2 linked regions of the Anolis sagrei genome follow. Each later gene encodes a partner of the first gene's protein in a complex. Links are inferred from orthologs where the notes say so. Each region holds a gene or a part of one and is shown on either strand. Other genes may lie near its edges.

Region 1 (9,072 bases):
ACTCGGTAAAGTACAAATCCCAAGAATCTATAGGCTGACACCATGGCAGTTAAAGTGGAATAATATCACTACAATTCTATAGTGTGACAAGACCTCTGATTTTCATGTAGCGCAGCCTTTCCCATTGGGAACTTGGGGATCACACTGTGAATCTTTCCCACCCTCTGTTTGAGATTGAACCAAGGGGTTGATGTATTTGTTGTGCAATTGCCTTGTTTTATTCAGATTTTGGTGTGTCAGGAAAAAATCACCTTCACTTTGTCATCTTCTTGTGTTCTTTCACTTCTCTTTTCTCCCTATTTTTAGCTTACTTCACTTTTGTGGACAGATCCAATACCTACAGAAGCCATTCTGCATAGGCCATTCTACAAGCTTTGTCTGGAAACACCCGAGGATCCTAGAAATTGACCATAGGAAAATGATCAAGATGGTAATATGTCTGGAAACAAAGTGCTATGAAGACACAATTAGAGAGCTGAATATGTTTAGTTTATAAACTGAGAGGTGCCAAAAAAGTGTGTGTGTGTGCCTCTGGTTCCCAACATGGGGAACACACCTCACAGGAGGGCAATTTGATTTTTAATGGGCAATTCGAGAATGCTTTATTAACATTGCTTCTTTGCATTTCTTGTGGTTCTAGGAGACTCAAACACAGAATACAAATACATATTGTGGCATACACATTTTAAAAAATAACATTTGAATGTACAGGGTGATCGATTGGAGACAAAGGATTGGGGAGAGCCCACTCATAGAGAGGAATTGAGAGAGCATAAACTAGAGAGTGCATTAGTACAGAAACAGGAGACCACTTTTATGCCAAACACTCCACTCCTCATAGTGTTCTTGTAACATTACAAGCTATATAAAACATATATAAATGTCTTTTTGTTCTACATATGAATGCAGCAAGACATAATGTGAAAAAATCCAAAACATAATTATTACCTTCATAGGTAAGTCAGTATTTTGTATGAAAAAAAGATGATCCCCTGCAAGAAAATTAACATCAGGTGACACGATATTAACGCTTTTCTCACCAAATACACACAATGACATTGGGCGTTTAAGTTACCCTGAATTTGATGCAGATTACTCAAATTCATTTATTCTTTTCTTTTTCTCTTTCTTGGATGCCATGTTATTTTGGAAGCTTGTTTGGACCAACTTTATGGCCTTTTAAGGTTTCTCCGTGTGAATAGGAGTTTACTTTTTGAGTAATGACAATTGCCATGGGGGAGGGGGTCAGGGTTTTAGAAAGGCTTAGGTGGGGCATTGCCAAAAAAAAAAAAGTTGGGAACTACCAGTATAGGTCTAAAGTTGCCTGCTGATTTCTGGTGATGCCATGAATTTCATAAAATTTTCTTAGGCAAGAAATATTCTCTGAAATACAGTTTGCTGCCCCCATTATTTCTTGGTGGCCCTTATCCAAGTATTAACTAGAGCTGGCTGTGCTTAGCTTCTGAGATTAGACAGATGCCTTTAGAGTATTTAAACTATTTATATAGGTGACATGATAAACATTATCATCATGTTACCTACATAACCTTGGGAAGTCTGATCTGGCCACGGTGGTCCATGCTCTGGTTAGATCCCAAATAGATTACTGCAACACACTCTATGTGGAGTTGCCTTTGAAGACTGTTCGGAAACTTCAACTAGTCCAACGGGTGGCAGCCAGATTGCTCACTGGAGCATTGTACAGGGAGCATACCACCCCCCTGTTACGTCAACTCCACTGGCTGCTGGTCCATTTCCGAGCACAATTCAAAGTGCTGGTCTTGGCCTATAAAGCCCTATACGACTCCAGCCCAGCTTACTTTTCTGAATGTATCTCACTCTACGTTCCGCCTTGTAGTCTAAGATCTGTCGGGGCCCTGCTCTCGGTCCCACCAGCTTTGCAAACGCGGCTGGTGGGGACAAGGGACAGGGTCTTCTCAGTGGTGACCCCCTGTCTGTGGAATTCGCTCCCCAGAGAAATTCGATCGGTGTCCTCTCTCCTTTCTTTCAGAAGAAAACTGAAGACATGGTTGGGGAACCAGGCTTTTGGCTAATGGATATATACGGCACCTGAACCGTGAATTGGACCAAACGGTTATAATGAAAATGCCTTTATGATTGGATAACTAATGTTGTTTCAATATATTGTATTGTATGATTTTATTTTGCGTTTATAATTGTAATTATTGCGGCATCGAATTGTTGCCATTGTTAGCCACTCTGAGACCCCCTGCGGGGGTGAGAAGAGTGGGGTAGAAATGCTGTAAATAAAATTTAAAAAATATGATGGTGACAGGAAGACAAAGGTAAGCATTGTCTGCAATGGGATGGAGACAGGCAATGTAGTCAGACTGGGGACAGACAGGAATACTGCATTCCAGACCAGCACCAGGTTTTCCAGCCTGTGTACAGTACATATGACCAAGGACAGAAATGTGTGGATTTAAATTCTAAGAATCCACCAAAAGATTAGGATAAATTTTCTGATGGTGTGGTTCAGCAGTGAACTGGACTGTCTTAGAAAGTGGTAGATCTCTCCTTCATTGAAGGTCTTTAAACAGGTTGGATGGCAAGAGTACCTTAATTTATTTTCTATCTGTATCTATCTACAGATAGATACCTTTCTACAGACAGAGTCCTCCCTGAGTCCCTCCTAGGGGGTTGAGAAGGGCGGGGTAAAAAAATACCCGAAATAAATATCTATCTACTTACCTATCTAATTTATACATACATATACCTACATACATATATACACACACACACATACACACACCTACTTGGAAGACGATTAGACTAGAGATGGCCCTGTGGTCTCTTCCAACTCTATGATTCTATGGAATGAACACACCTGTTTTCTCTGGCATCTTCCTCGCACTTGTAATGTCTCCTGGGTCTTTTGTCACAGTAAGGTCTCGGGTTGTTAATTGCAGACACGACTGAGCAGGCCTGTAGCCAGGATTTCAATTCGGGGGGAGGGGTAGTTTGTTTCGGGAGGGGGGGCTGAGTCTGAGTGAAAGAGGGTCTACCTTAGCAAACCTTTTGTATCGTTGCCCCAATACCCCCATGCATATGGGATATATTGAGTATGGTGATCAGATCATGATATGAATAAACATAACAGTTTAAATAATGCACCAGTAAGGCCTTCTCGCAGACCAACATGAGAATTTCGGGGGGGGGGGTGAAACCCTTCAAGCCCCCCCCCCCCCCCCCCGGCTACATGCCTGCGACTGAGGTGACATTATATCAACATAGTCCCATATGTACAATAATTTAGTTTCTAATGATCCCTCTGTTTTATACCAGGGATGTGTGAAACTCTGTTCTTCAAACCCTGCTCTCAAATTGGAATAGAGGATGGTGTAATTGCTCTTTGTACAAGTGGCCAAAGAGTTGTTTCCCAGTTGTGCTAATGCTAATATTTACCCGCCTGTGATAGAGAGAGCAAATACTGACTAGAAAACTATTTCAGAAGTAAAGAGAGATTGAGAGGATCAAGAAAAGGTGTTTAGGGCCTGGTATTTTTCATTCAGAACTTATTGTTGTCTTAGATGTGGACTCCCTCCCAAAAGATTTTAAGTTGAATTTGGAGTTTCTAGTACTTATACATTATGAACTGAAAGTTGCTAATGATATTGCTACTTTACATACCATCCATATGCTGTTTTTTTTCTTCTTCTCTCAATCATAGATGTCTAGTTAATGTTGAAACTAAATAACTAAGAGATATACATATGATCAAGGTGCATGGACCCTTAACTTCATTATTTAGTCATTTCTCAGTAAAAAATGAAAACACTGTAATATTTGCTGGATTTATCAACTGGAGTTCTGTTTGTTTATGCCAACTAAAGTAGTAGACTTATTTAATCAATTCTTGAGTGATGAGTCAATATGCAGATAAATCCATTTGTTTCCATGGGCCTTTCCTTATCAAGAGCAACAATAGGATTAAGTCCATCAATGCCAGCATTCTCTTTGTAACAGTCATCTAGCCAAATGTCCCTGGAAGCTCACTAGGATGGTATCATGAAAACAGACATCCCTCAGGTTTCTTTATCTGGTTCTGAAAAGTATATTACCTCCACAAATAATTGCATTTACTATGCAGTTCTAGATACCAGAAACAGGGTGCATTTCATTCAACTGACTTAATTCCAAGTAACTATGTTAGTAGTTGTATAAGATTATCATTCCCAACCCCCTGTGATCAACCTAGCCTAATTTGTTTGTCCAAACCTTTCTTTAAAATTATCTTCTAAGCTAGTAACTGTCACCATATCATTTTATACATTTACCATGCAAAAGAGTGAAAATGGTGTAGTGGTTTCAATATTGGACTACATAGTTATCTATGGAGGAAGTTCGCACACTAAGATTCTAAGTGATGGGTTTTATTATTAAGAAAATTAATATTATTTAAATTAAGGAAACTCTGGCTTGTCGAGGAGTTTATTAGGAATAGTGCGACTGTGAAATAGGAATGCCTCATCCTTGGAGTAGCTGCATCTTGCAACTAGGTCCCCAAATCAAAGACTTGGAAACACTTTGATAACAATTTGGCAAGATCTCCATGACAGTGAGATTGGACACTTTGATATCCTGTCTTTCAAGAAGTGGCCTTTATATTATTTCACAAAGTTCAGGATGGCTAGCTCTGTTTGGGCTTATTTGAAATAAGTGAAATATATGCATTGGAGACTTCTTTTTCATGGTTTGCATATGCTAATGAAGCAGCAGAAAACAAAAATGCTCCGAAGAGAGGGAGGGAAGCCAGGGTGGGTGCAAGAGCAAGCTCTTCAGTACAACTGTCCCTGACACACTGTGACCTGGTTCCTCTTTCTTCATGCTGGTTCAACATTAACCCAAGCTGGGCTGCAATAGTTTCTCCTCTGTTTCCCCTCTGCATTTTTCCTGTAGCTCAGGAACCCACACAATGGGACACAGCAGAACCAAAATGCTGAGGGCTTTTCTCCTCATCAGCCTTGTACATTTCACCCAGAGCTACGACACGGGTAAGGATACGCAGGAAGGGATGGGGAAGGTGGCATCTGTCAATCAGCAAAGCCAGAATATTGTGGTGGGGCTGGAACAGTAAAACAAAATGAAGGCAGAGGACAAGAAAGAATCCAGGGCATCCTTGATATGAAGGAGAAAGCAGCCAGTCATTGAGAGAAATAGTCAGGATCACACTGAAGAAGAGGTGAGCATGGCAGCCGTGCAGAGACACACCTCTGCAAGAACTTTGGAACTGAAAGGCTCAGAACATGGAAAATTATAGCTCTAAGAATCGTTGAAATATTCTGTGAGTTGTAGTTGGAAAAAACTGGCATTTTAGTAAACTCTGGGAAAATACAGTTTTGGAAATAATTTGTGGTCCTTGAGAGAAAAGTGTGGAAGCTAGACTGAAAGAGTTGCTAGTGACTTCTGTCTTCAGGCAATTTTTAATTTTATCTTTATACTTGAGAGCATATAAATAATTAGAGATTATTCAGGACCCACGTTTGCCTTATTCTGGGGAGATCGACAGGGTGTGTGTCTATTCATTTTAAATCTAGTTCATTATCTGGCTAGACTTAATAGAATCGGATTCTCGCCAATATTTTTAAAAGTTTCTTCTCCTGGCTCTGAATATAATTTTTCTAAGTTTGTTTGTTCATTTATTTGAGTATTTATGCCCTACTCTTCTGCCAAAAGGTATCCCATGGCAACTTAGAAATCATCAGTTCGACAGTCCCCTTCCCTCAGGCTTACAATCTAAATAAAACATGACGCATTAGGAAAAGGGAATGGAATTAAGTGTGAGATCAAGTTCAGCAGATGCTGGCTGCTCTTCTCCCATTTTGAGGCCAAAGTGATAGCAGTTGTAATTTGGAGGGAGGGCTTCTCGTCAACTGCTGAGTCAAAGTATGATGGAGCTCTATCTGGCTGCTCTTCTGTCCCTGAGAGGAGAATGTGTGCTCAAGCAATGGATATGGAGGGAACCAGTTTTGGTGCTTCCAAGTCCTTCATTGCTTATCTTCTGAGAACCAATTTGTGCTTCTCACCTCCAACTTAGATCTGTTACTATCACATAGAGAACATTTATGGAAACTTTAAGTTGATTAAGGCTTAAGTGTTTATGCAATGCAACCCACAGCAGCAGCTGCATAAATACTTTGCTCCACTATTTCAATCCAGCCTATCTGTTGCCAGTCAGCCACTTATTTATTTTTGTCTTATCATTCTTCAAAACTTGGTGCTGGAACTAGGCGGTGAAGTTTTTCTATCTGGAAAAGAAAGGAAAATGTGTGTCCCTGCATGTTGCATATGGAAAGGACTACAAAGGGTCAAACACTGGGGTTAGGCAAACAGAAGACCAGCACATTCTACCAAAGAGGTACTCATGCCATGAGGGTTGAATAAACAAGCCTTTCTATGCAAACAGGAAGAAATAGGTGGAAATAGGCATTGATCAAAAAGATGTAACATACTCTTGCAGGCAGCCATACATTGGCAGAACTCTGATATTACATTCAGTGGAAGATTTATGTATGGTTGTGAAAGCTAGACAATATAGGAAAGTTGAGAAGAGAATTCTCTACTTGGTGCTAGAGGAGAGTTCTGCTAAAAAGGCCAATAAATTTGACCAAGAGCAAATCATGCCTGAACTTTCCCCAGAAACCAAAATAACCAAACCGAAGATATTATACCTTGGTCAATAATGCTTAGCAAAGTGGGAAGCAGTAGGAAAAGAGGAAGACCACATTGTAGGTGGGTAAAGTCAATCTGAGAAGTCAGCCCTGAGTTTACAAACCTTGAGCATGGCTAAGTCTCTTGGAAGTTTCTCATTCATATGGTCAATTTGAAAGTGACTTGAAGACAATTCATAGCAATCTGAAGATCTAGTTCTCCCACATTAAGCCTATCATAGACTGGTCATATTTTCTCTTTAGTAACATCTGTTACTGGACTGTACCATACCCCCAACTGCACCAATTCAGCAAGGACAACCCTGAGTAATCCTCTGGCGTACCACTGTTTTGAATGTCCCAATTTCTATCTCCTCTTTCCACTTTCCCCTTCTTTTCTTTCCTTACCTTCACTTACTGGTGAGTTCAAAATGCAAAAGTAGCTAGCATGCAATTAACTCAGCACAAGGAAGAGGAGTGGTGTGTAATCTTGCCAATTGTGATAGGTTCAGGCTAAATTGTTCCAGCCTCTCCTAATTCATGTGTGTTCCCCTAAAATAACAACTGCAGTCTAAACTGCATTCCAGTGTTGTTTGGTCACAATGTCTCTGTTTTATCTGTGAAATATTGTGGAATATGCATTGGTTCTAATTTGTACACAGAAACAAATATTTGTAATTGAAATGTTCTGTGCTCTTTTAACCTATTCTTTCCTGTCTGCACAGAAAAACCTCTTTGTAGTACTTTGTTTTTCTGAAAAAGAAAGAGAACAGAATTTATACCTTCTCCATTCAACCCGCTTAGCAATTCATTTCCGCAAGACAAAGAGATGTGATTGAGTTTTAGAAGGTGAAAAAACTTAACCCATCCAGAAGATAAAGCTCTTTAACATAAGCAAGAAATTTAACGCAGCCAAAAAATAAAACTCCATAACACAAACAATAAAAATGAAGAAAACAAAAGAAGACTGGCAAAAAAGGAATATTATTCAGATCAGTGAAAACCAAATGAATAGTTTAGTATTGTCTTTTAGGAACAATTCAAGAAATGAAGCTTTATAATTTGATATAATCTTCTATCTTTTCTGTTGAATTGATGGTCAGAATATTAATTTAATGTGCATTAATTTCAAATTATTAAACCTTCAGTAGATAGTAAAGTTAGAGGAATATACTATACACAGCTACCTGTGATCTGGAACTGTGTATCTGAAACATACTGATAACTTACTTATTCTAGTAAGTGTGATGTAGTTTATTTGATCAAGTCACCCGGATTTTTGTTTGAAGCACCTTTCTGTTGGGTGCCCCTTTCTTCTTCTGTCCCAGTGAGGTCAACACTATATAGATCAGAAGATCTAACAGTGCTTGGACTGCTGTCAGCTGATCATGAGTTGCAATCCAAAAACATCAGTAAGAAGTTAGTTGCTTCCCTTAGTGTTGCTAATCTGGATGTGGTAGTAACCCATTAGTAGAAATTTTGTTGTTGTTAATTGCTTTCCAGTCAGCTTCAATTTCTGGCAACACTGTATGAATGAGAGACCACCAAGTCACACTGTTACCACCAGCTATGCTCAGATCTTAGAAACTCAGGGATATATCTTCTGTGATTGAACCTATTCAACTTGACTATGGTCTTACTCTTTTCCCACTACTGTAATGAGCACTATTGTCTTTTCTAATGAATCATATTTTCACATGATATGACCAAAGGCAACACTCTCAGTTCAGTCATCTTGGCTTCTAGGGAGATTTCAGGCTTGATTTGCTGTTCAATGTATGTATGTACTTACGTATGCATGTATTTGAAACCTCCCTTACAGGAAAATACTTTCCTCAGAATCCTTCTTCATTCTTCTATATGAAATAAGTGGTAAAAAAAACTACTAGAGTCTTCCAAATGATTTTGAACAGCCTCCATCGTTGCCTATAAGACCTAAAGCAGATAAGTGGTGAAGGGCTCACCCTAGATCTAAATGATGTAATGGGGCCTGGTTTCCAAAGTCAAAGTTCTAGGACATTTTCATTAGCAGGAGTATGACAACCTCTGCCACCCCCACCCCCAGATCCTCCTGTTCCCTGTAAGAAGTATAGCTATAAATCCCACAGTATCAGGAATGGAAATAACTTTTCCTAGTAAATAGTTTTCCTAGTCAGCGATCCCTGCTTATTGGGGTGGATTGGTCTTATGTTGGTAGGATGCATTGGCTTTCCACAACTACTTGCACTTTTGTGCTCTTTATGGGGTGTTGACATAGAGGCTGTCTTGGTGGGGGCCTAGATGTCTAACATCACTATATCACTGAATATACGGTTCTTTAAAAAAATGAAAGACTGGTCCTGCTCTACTAGTGATTGACTGTCTGTTTTGCTCTTCTAGTCTTTCTTGAGCAGAGGCAAGC
Region 2 (9,573 bases), on another chromosome or scaffold:
GGGAGGAGTACTCACTTTACACTCCTTGGCAGCCCTTGCAGCTCCTCTGAGTCAGTGGGGACTCAGTCTGAGAGGTGGGGAGGTTCCCAAAGTTCAAAACTCATCTATTAGAGAGGGGAGGCCTGCCATCTCTCTTCTTACCAAACTCATGCAAACTGATGCAAACCACTCTTACTTACTAGGGATAGTGTCATATGGAATGCACTATTTCATAATGGAGTGCGACGAGACATCTTGGAAAATAAAGATATCCCGATCTGCTCTTGCGCAAGAGGAGACTGAGGCAAATATGACAAACCCCAAGCCTTCTGCCTCTCCTTTCCATAGAAAGTCTAGCACCGAAAGGCATGTTGTCTCAAAAGAGTTTGTGATTACATCTGGCATCAATCTCACAGTCAACAGCTGCTGTGCTGAAGGTCAGAAGGATGAAGGCCAGCCAGGCATCACAGCAGCTGCATTTCTCACAACTATTCTGGTGTATGCCTGTGACACACATACTGAATGGACATCACAAAATACTCAGAAACAGCTGTTGTAGAGTCATTACTGACTTTTACCTCATAGCCATATATCCATGTTCAGAAATAATCCACATTTCCCCCTTCACACTTGTAAGAATTCAGTGCACCTAAATTATTATGACACATATTTACAATATAATAATTGTAAAACAAAAACATTGTGTGTAGTGTGAAGGAGCCCTTTAGGGTATAATCTACATGTGATACTAACTGCAATCCTGACAATGCTATTGTCATTTTAAAAATTCAGTTTCAACGTTACTTATGTATGTATGTATGTATGTATGTATGTATGTATTTTGGGCACTTCTGCCCTGCCCTTCTCAATCCCCAAGGGGAGACTCAGGGCGGCTTACAACCGGCACAATTCGATGCCAACAATTCAACAGATAAATTACATAACAGTAATAACCACAATAGTTAAAACAATCAATTAAAACAGTAACAATTAAAAGCCAATCTAGTGGCCAATGTTCACCGAGTTCTAATATCCATAAGTCCATTCAGCATTACCATAGTCCATTCCAATTTCTGGTCATCATTACCATGTCAGTCTGCCAGATTACCTGAAGGCCTGGTCCCATATCCATGTTTTCAGCTTCCTTCAGAAGGAGAGGAGGGATGTTGATGACCTAATTTCCCTAATTTCCTAATTTTGGGGAGTAAATTCCACAGGCGAGGGGCCACCACCGAGAAGGCCCTGTCCCTCGTCCCCACCAGCCTCACTTGTGATAGAGGTGGGGCCGAGAGCAGGGCCTCCCCCGAAGATCTTAAACTCCGAGGTGGGACATAGAAGGAGATACGTTCGGACAGGTACACTGGGCCGGAGCCGTATAGGGTTATAGGTCAAAACCAGCACTTTGAACTGTGCTCGGAACTGGATCGGCAGCCAGTGGAGCTGATGTAACAGAGGAGTGGTATGCTCCCTGTATGACGCTCCGGTGATTAATCTAGCTGCCGTCCATTGGACTAACTGAAGTTTCCAAACAGTTTTCAAAGGCAACCCCATGTAGAGCGTGTTGCAGTAATCTATTTGGGATGTAACAAGAGCGTGGACCACCGTGGCCAGATCAGACTTCCCAAGGTACGGGCGCAGCTGGCTCACAAGTTTTAATTGTGCAAAAACTCTCCCGGCCACCACCGAGACCTGGGGTTCCAGGCTCAGCGATGAGTCCAGGATCACTCCCAAGCTGCGAACCTGCGTCTTCAGGGGGAGTGTAACCCCATCCAACACAGGCTGTAACCCTATGCCCTGTTCGGCCTTGCGACTGACAAGTACTTCTTGCCCCACTCCCATTTTTTCAGCATAGTGTTGACAGGCATTTAAAATAGCAATGGAGGAGTGGGGAATTGGCAATTTGTCAATTTATGGCCTGCATGGCTGACAGTCAGGAAATAATTAAAAAGTTTGTGAAATGTCAAATAAAACTATTGATTTAAGCAATTGAGCTAGATTTTCATTTGTAAAATCGACATATTGCTTATATTAATGAATTTTACAATACGTGGCTGCTTCCATGAAAGGCCCAAAATCCTTTGTAAGTTGAAGCAGTCTATTAGAAAAGGAAAGCGCTGCAAGCTGCAGGATGCATTCCTGGTCATGGTGACTGTCTGAGGATGATGGGCACCCATCTTCAGTTGTCTGAGAACTTTCAGCTATTGGTAACAAAACAATGGAGGGGATGATGCCCAAGGATCAATTCCTAATATGTAAGACTAAAGAAGTTAAAAATACACAAGAGATCCATGCTTTCATAGTTTTAAACTATATAGATCAACAGATCACATATATAAACCAACACATGGTTTAATGCAAGGGTCTTAGAATTATAGAGTTGGAAGAGACCATGTGGGCTATCCAGTCCAATCCCCTGCCATGCGGGAAAAACACAATCAAAATACCCCCGACAGATGACCATCCAGCCTCTATTTAAAAGCTTCCAAGGAAGGGGTTTCCATCACATTCCGAGGCAAAGAGTTCCACTGCTGAATAGCTTTTACACTCAGGAAGTTCTTCCTAATGTTCAGGTGAAATCTCCTTTCCTGTAATTTGAACCCATTGCTCTGTGTCCTGGTTTCCAGGGCAGCAGAAAACAAGCCTGCTCCCTCTTCCTTATGGCATCATTTATACCTGTCTATCATATCTCCTCTCAACCTTTTCTTCTGCAGGCTGAATATGCCCAGCTCTTTAAGACGCTTCTTATAAGGCATAGTCTCCAGACCTTTGATCATTTTTGCCACCCTCCTCTTCAAGCATTTTAAGCTGAGGGCTGGTTCATAGTCCCTCAGGTTGCTGGGGGACCTGACTATAGTTTGAAAAAAATGAATTAATTCCCATGCACACTGTACATATCTTATTTTAGTGCCAAAAGAATGAAAGAACAATACAATTTTGGAAATGAAGAACAATTTTAACCAACAATAACATACCAGTGTTTCAATGGCAAATGTGGGCCTGCTTTGGGCTTATGGCAATAGTCAAATCAAGTAGGAGGAGTGTTGCTGTTGTGTGCCTTCAAGCCATTTCAAACTGAGGGCAACTCTAAATCTAAAGCTGGGGACCGGGTGAATGACCTTGGTGGGCTGCATCTGCCTGTGGGCCTTAATTTGAAGATTTAGCCCTTAGCACTTAGATTTGTTCCTCAGCTTTGGTGGTGATCACAACATCTTAGTTTGAGGACTTCCCAATTGGATCCCCCGTATGAGGGTCTGCGTCCAGAGGCAAACCAAGAATGGGCAACTTGGAAGTCACTCAACAGACTCAGAAGAGGAGTGGGCAGATCAAAAGACAACCTGGCTAAATGGCACTACCACTGTCTGCTTCCCCAGTCATTAGAAAAATAATAATCAGGGACTGGGATTACTACCTGTTCTAAAAGAGATACTCATAACTTGAGTATCTTGGGCCTAGCATTGCTTCTGGGGTTCTTGTGGGCAAGAGCAACCAACTTTGGTTGGTGGGAAAGCTGAGCCCTATCCAGGGAAATTAGCTTCCAGTTAAAACAAATACAATATTCTCTAGGACAGTGGTTCTCAACCTGTGGGTCCCCAGATGTTTTGGCCTTCAACTCCCAGAAATCCTAACATCTGGAAAAAAAGGCTGGGATTTCTGGGAGTTGTAGGCCAAAACACCTGGGGACCCACAGGTTGAGAACCACTGACCTAGAAGAATCTTTCACCTTGTGTGACTGTGGAGCAGAACAAACAACTCTGCACCTGTATGCTTGCCCACAATGCCCTGCCTTCATGCACAGAGGAAGAACTGTTTAAAGCTACAGACAGTATGGTCACTGTTGCCCATTTTTGGTCTAAAATTATTTAGCCGCTTGTGTTCCCTCTAGTTTATCAGTTTTATGCTTATTTATGCAATGCTTTTGACACAAAACATTTAAAAAACCCTGTGCAAGTCACTGTCTCTGTGGGCCCTTCCACACAACCATATAACCCAGAATATCAAGTAAAGTAAAGTAAAGTAAAGTAAAGTAAAGTAAAGTAAAGGTAAAGGTTTTCCCCTGACGTTAAGTCCAGTCGTGTCCGACTCTGTGGGTTGGTGCTTATCTCCATTTCTAAGCCGAAGAGTTGCCGTTGTCCACAGACACCTCCTGGTCATGTGGCCAGCATGACTGCATGGAGCACCGTTACCTTCCCACCAGAGCAGAACCTATTGATATATTCACATTTGCATGTTTTTGAACTGCCAGGCTGGCATAAGCTGGAGCTGACAGCAGCAGCTCACGCCGCTCCATGGAATTGAATCTGCGATCTTTCGTTCAACAAGCTCAGCAGCTCAGTGCTTTAACCCACTGCGCCACTGGGGGCTACAAGTCAGATAGTCCACAATATCTGCTTTGAACTGGGTTATCTGGGAGCCCTTTCACACAGCCATATAACGCAGAATATCAAGTCAGATAACCCACAATATTTGTTTTGACTTGGGTTATCTGGGAGCCCTTCCACACAGCCATGTAACCCAGAATATCAAAGTCAGATAACCCACAATATCTGCTTTGAACTGGGTTATCTGAGGGGCCTTCCACACAGCCATGTAACCCACAATATCAAGTCAGATAACCCACAATATCTGCTTTGAACTGGGTTATTTGGGGGCCCTTCCACACAGCCATGTAACCCAGAATATCAAGTCAGATAACCCACAATATATGTTTTGAATTGGTTTATCTGAGGGCCCCTTCCACACAGCCATATAACCCAGAATATCAAGTCCGATAACCCACAATATCTGTTTTGTCCTGGGTTATCTGAGGGGGCCTTCCACACAGCCATATAACCCAGAATATCAAGTCCAATAACCCACAATATCTGTTTTGACCTGTGTTATCTGAAGGGCCTTCCACACAGCCATATAACCCAGAATATCAACACCGATAATCTACAATATCTGTTTAGACCTGGGTTATCTGAGGGCCCCTTCCACACAGTCATATAACCCAGAATATCAAGTCCGATAATAACCTACAATACCTGTTTTGACCTGGGTTATCTGAGTTGCCTTCTACACAGCCATGTAACTCACAATATCAAGTCAGATAACCCACAATATCTGCTTTGACCTGTGTTATTTGGGGGCCCTTCCACACAGCCATGTAACCCAGAATAGCAAGTCAGATAACCCACAATATCTGCTTTGACCTGGGTTATCTGAGTTGCCTTCTACACAGCCATGTAGCTCACAATATCAAGTCAGAAAACCCACAATATCTGGTTTAAATGGGGTTATGTGAATCCAGGCTGCATATATTTATACAGCTGTGTGGAAGGGGCCTGAGTAAGAAAACAGCAGGCCTCTTCTGAAGGCATCTTGCCCTGGGTCATCTAAGGTGGAAAAGGGGAAAGGGGGGGGGGGTCTGTGAGGAAGAGAAGGCAGTGGGCTTCGCGGCCTCACCCAGGAGGAAAGTCCTTGCGTTGTCCTCCCCACGAGAGGGCGGGAAACCCCTCAGAGGCGCACGTGCAGCGCCGAGAGGGCGGGGCGGGGAAGGGCAGGACAAGGGAGGGGAACTCCCTTTTCTGCGTTTCCACTCAAGAGACAGGAAAGCGCGCGGGTGTAGCTGTAGGGTTCCTCGGTCCCGTAGAGAATTCTAGTGGGAGGGGAAGGGAAGGGGAAGAAGGAGCAGCCGCCCTTCTTCCCCGCCCTGAGGCTGCTGCGGGTCCGCCCCTGAGGAAGACCCGGCCCGGCCCGGCGCGCCCTCTCCGCCGCCGAAGAGCCCTGGAGGGCGGGGCCTTGTCTTTCCCTCATGGAGGGCGTTATAAGGGCGGCGCGTTGCCTGAAGGAGGGAAGCCAAGCCGAGGGCTCCTTCCCGCAGGCAAGCAGGCATGTGGCTCCTGAGGCTGCTGCTGCTGCCGGTGGTATTGGCGGTGTCCGCTCCCTCGCCGCCTTCCCCTTCCCCTTCGGGGGCGCAGTGCGTGGGCTCGGCTTGCTTCGCCTTGTTCTGGGTGGCGCGGAGCTTCTCCGAGGCGGACCAGGCGTGCCAGGGAGGCGGCGGGCGGCTCATGTCGGTGCGCTCGACGGTGGCAGCGGAGGCCATCGCTCTGCTCCTGCGAGGCGGGCCGGGCCGCGCTTGGCTGGGCTTGCGCCTGCCTGTGGGCGCCTGCCGGGAGCGGGGAAAGAAGTTGCGCGGCTTCCAGTGGGTCTCCGGCGACGAGCGCACCGACTACGCCGCCTGGGATGGAGATGAAGCAGAGGGAGACTCCCTGCCTGCTTTGTGTGGCCCCCGTTGCGTGGTGGTGACCCCAGAAGCGCTGTCTTGGGAGGAGAGCAGCTGCGACGCCCCCTCCGACGGCTTCCTTTGCGAATACAGCTTCCCCTCTGGCACCTGCGCTCCTCTGAATCCCCCACCATCCGCGGAGGTGCTTTACGTGACTCCCTTCGGGGCCCGGGAGGCAGAATTGGCATCCTTGCCCCCAGGGAGCACGGCCCAAGTGCCCAGCTTGGGGGCCACCCTGGAGTGCATAGCACAAGGCCAGGAGGAGCCCCGAGGGCGCTGGCGCTCTGTCACGCAAGGCGCCTGGGACTGTCGCTTGGAGAACGGGGGCTGCGAGGGGCAATGCCACCCTGGAGAGACAGGGCAACCTTATTGTACTTGCCCCGGTGGGGTGGCTTTCCTAGAGGCCGACAGTCTGAGCTGCCGGTCCCTCTGTGCCCACCTGGACTGCGAGCATCACTGCGTGACACAAGGCGACTCCGCCGTCTGCATGTGCATGGAAGGCTACCTGTTGGACACCAACGGCAAGAGCTGCGTGGACGTAGACGACTGCCAGACCCAACCTGGTCCCTGCGAACAGGAGTGCCTCAACACCTCGGGGGGCTTCAAGTGCCGCTGCTCGGCAGGCTACGAAATGGTTGAGGGCAAGTGCCAGGAGGATAGGCGGCCCTGCTTCGACCTGCTCTGTCAGCACGACTGCACCCTCATAAATGGGAAGCACATATGCACCTGCATTGAGGGCTATGTTCCGAACCCCTTAAAGCCCAACGAATGTCTCCAGTTCTGTAACCAGAGCCAGTGCCCGGCAGAGTGCGACCCCCACACGGGAGACCACTGCGACTGCCCAGACGGTTTCATCTCTGACGTGACCGAAGATGACATTAAAGTTTGTACTGATATTGATGAGTGTCATTCCGGGGAATGTGGTAAATTGGAGTGTGTGAATACACCAGGAAGTTACCATTGCATCTGCCCCAGTGGGCATGTCCAAGATCAGAAGCCCTGTGAGGAAGATGAGGAGGGCTCAGGTGGAACGGAAGTGTACTCCAGCACACCGGCTACTACTACTGTACCACCAAAGGATGGCAGCAGCCGAGGGGTGCTTGTTGGACCCATTGTTAGTACAGTGTTGATGAGTATTGTGACAGTAGTGCTTGTGTGCTAGTTGATGAAGAAGCATTGCATTGCACTGCACAGCCCTGAAAGGATTCAGGAAGTCTGTAGTGTGGTTCTGTAGCAGGTCAGCCCAAACAATTAAGAAAGAAAATGTAGGAGACTATGGCCCCTTCCACATAGCTGAATAAAATTCCATGCTATCTGCTTTGAACTGGGATATATGGCAGTGTGGACTCAGATAACCCAGTTCAAAGCAGATATTGTGGGTTATTCTGCCTTGGCATTCTGGGCTATATGTGTGGAAGGGCCATATGCGTGCAGGAAAAGGGAATGGGGAATGTTTGTAAAAGCTGAATGGAAATAGTGACAGATCCCAATGACATTCCTTGGGAAGATCTATTTTCTTAATGTTTTTAAATACTGGATGGAAATAGTGACAGATCCCAATGACAGTCCTTGGGCAGATACTGTTATATTAATGGTTCTCTGAAGGAACACTGGAAACACTTTTTCAGCTCAGCTTCCTGATGATTATTAATGGCCATGGATTGTAAGCAGGGCCAGCGCTTGAGACTGACTTGTACAAGGGAGAAAGAATATGCAGCAGATTGCCACAGAGACTGCGTTCAACTATAACATTTGTGATTTATTTTTAACTAGCATATGTGTCTGGCAATTTTCTCACAACAGAAGCGACTTGCTGTTTCTCAAGTCACTTCTGACAATTAAAAAAGAAAACCTGGCATGGTATTTTCAAATGCTTTTTAAATTAAACATACTTATTGTTAAATTTATGATTTTATGAATGGTCCCATTAGAAAATGTATACTCAAGCAATGTCAGGTACTTATGCTAGTGTTTTATAAAGTTTCAATACTCATTTTCTCTGTACAGAGAATTTTTTTCTCCATGCATATAAATGCACTGCTCTGAATGTAGGATTCCGTTAAGAACTGAATTATTACCCAGATTGTATCATTTTAAGTACTCCCTTCTCCAGATCACTTCCTTTGCCTGTCCCTCTGAGAAGGCCTCCCTTAGATTTTTTTTCCATGTTAGGTGCAACTTGAGAAACTACAAGTTGCTTCTGGGGTGAGAGAATTGGCCATCTGCAGGGATGTTGCCCAGGGGACACCCGGATGTGTTACCATCCTGTGGGAAGCTTCTTTCATGTCCCTGCATGGGAAGCTGGAGCTGACAGATGGGAGTGCAACCCACTCCCCGGATTTAAACTGCCGACCTTTTGGTCAGCAGTCCTGCTGGCACAAAGGTTTAACCCACTGCACCACCATCTCCGTGGCCAGGCTTTGGCCATCTGAAAGAAACTGATGCACTAGCTCTCTTCCATTTGTCATCTCTTCTTCTGGAATAGACTTTCTATCCAGTGCCCTCTAGTGGTCGCTTCTGATTGCTTCAGTGTGAGGTTCATGGAATATCAATGTAGATCATGTTTAAAATAAGGCAACAGACAAAAAAGGGTGATTTTTAAAAACCCCACCAGTATTTTAAGTTGGATCATGAAAAGCATGTGTTTCAGGTTTGGTCCAGATCCATCAAGCCACGAAGAAGCCTTTGGGGTACAAGCATGCATACATATCTTCACACACACACACACCACAGGGATGAGCATACCCCAGGCTTCAAAAACTGAATTTCTTATAGGAATGCAAAGACCTATCAAGAGTTTTGTTCAAGAATTCACAGTTCATCTGCCTCAACCTTCCTTTGTTTCAACAATGGGATTTAAAGGGTAGGGTGTTGACCTTTTTTGCTATTAAAACAATTGGGAGCCAAATCTTTGTAGATATGCAAATCTCAACCTGATTTATCAGAGAGTTGGTCTGCTTAAAACTGAAGAAAACTGGTAAGCTGGAAGAGCTAATCTACCTTCGAAAAATGACTTTGGTTGGGAGGCGAACTCTCTGTTTCCAAAAACATTTTAAAATCAAGATGCTTACAAAATCCATGGTTTGTTGCTGTGTGCCTTCAAGTCCTTTTTGACTTCAAGAGGCCCTAAGAGGATTTCTGGGTATGTGACTTGCCCAAAATCCCTCAATGGGTTTCCAAGACTGAGTGAGGAACTTTAGGGTCATAGTCCAATGTTCAAACCACTATTGAAATTGTTTACCAGTCTAATATTCTATGTAATGTTCTCGGCATATTTTTAGTCTACTTATATGAAATAAGTAGTTGCTTACAAAGTTCATATCAAATCA

Evidence for each region.
Region 2: the proteins of F2 (region 1) and THBD are in contact, whole or in part, in a crystal structure (PDB 1DX5), measured with the Homo sapiens proteins. The link is inferred for Anolis sagrei from reciprocal best matches to the Homo sapiens genes F2 and THBD. Residues at the interface, in NP_000497.1 of Homo sapiens: Phe382, Ser385, Pro386, Gln387, Leu423, Arg425, Thr432, Arg433, Tyr434, Arg436, Asn437, Glu439, Lys440, Ile441, Met443, Lys470; in NP_000352.1 of Homo sapiens: Ser424, Cys425, Glu426, Cys427, Tyr431, Ile432, Leu433, Asp434, Asp435, Thr440, Asp441, Ile442, Asp443, Glu446, Asn447, Gly449, Phe450, Asp479.

What each region holds. Positions count from the first base shown.
Region 1 is NC_090021.1:279,173,109-279,182,180, forward strand, and holds the start of F2 (prothrombin), read left to right. Parts: upstream 1-4,864; 5' UTR 4,865-4,936; coding exon 4,937-5,015; intron 5,016-9,050; coding exon 9,051-9,072. UniProt on the Homo sapiens protein: Thrombin, which cleaves bonds after Arg and Lys, converts fibrinogen to fibrin and activates factors V, VII, VIII, XIII, and, in complex with thrombomodulin, protein C. Functions in blood homeostasis, inflammation and wound healing.
Region 2 is NC_090024.1:140,401,946-140,411,518, reverse strand, and holds the start of THBD (thrombomodulin), read left to right. Parts: upstream 1-5,588; 5' UTR 5,589-5,852; coding exon 5,853-7,406; 3' UTR 7,407-9,573. UniProt on the Homo sapiens protein: Endothelial cell receptor that plays a critical role in regulating several physiological processes including hemostasis, coagulation, fibrinolysis, inflammation, and angiogenesis.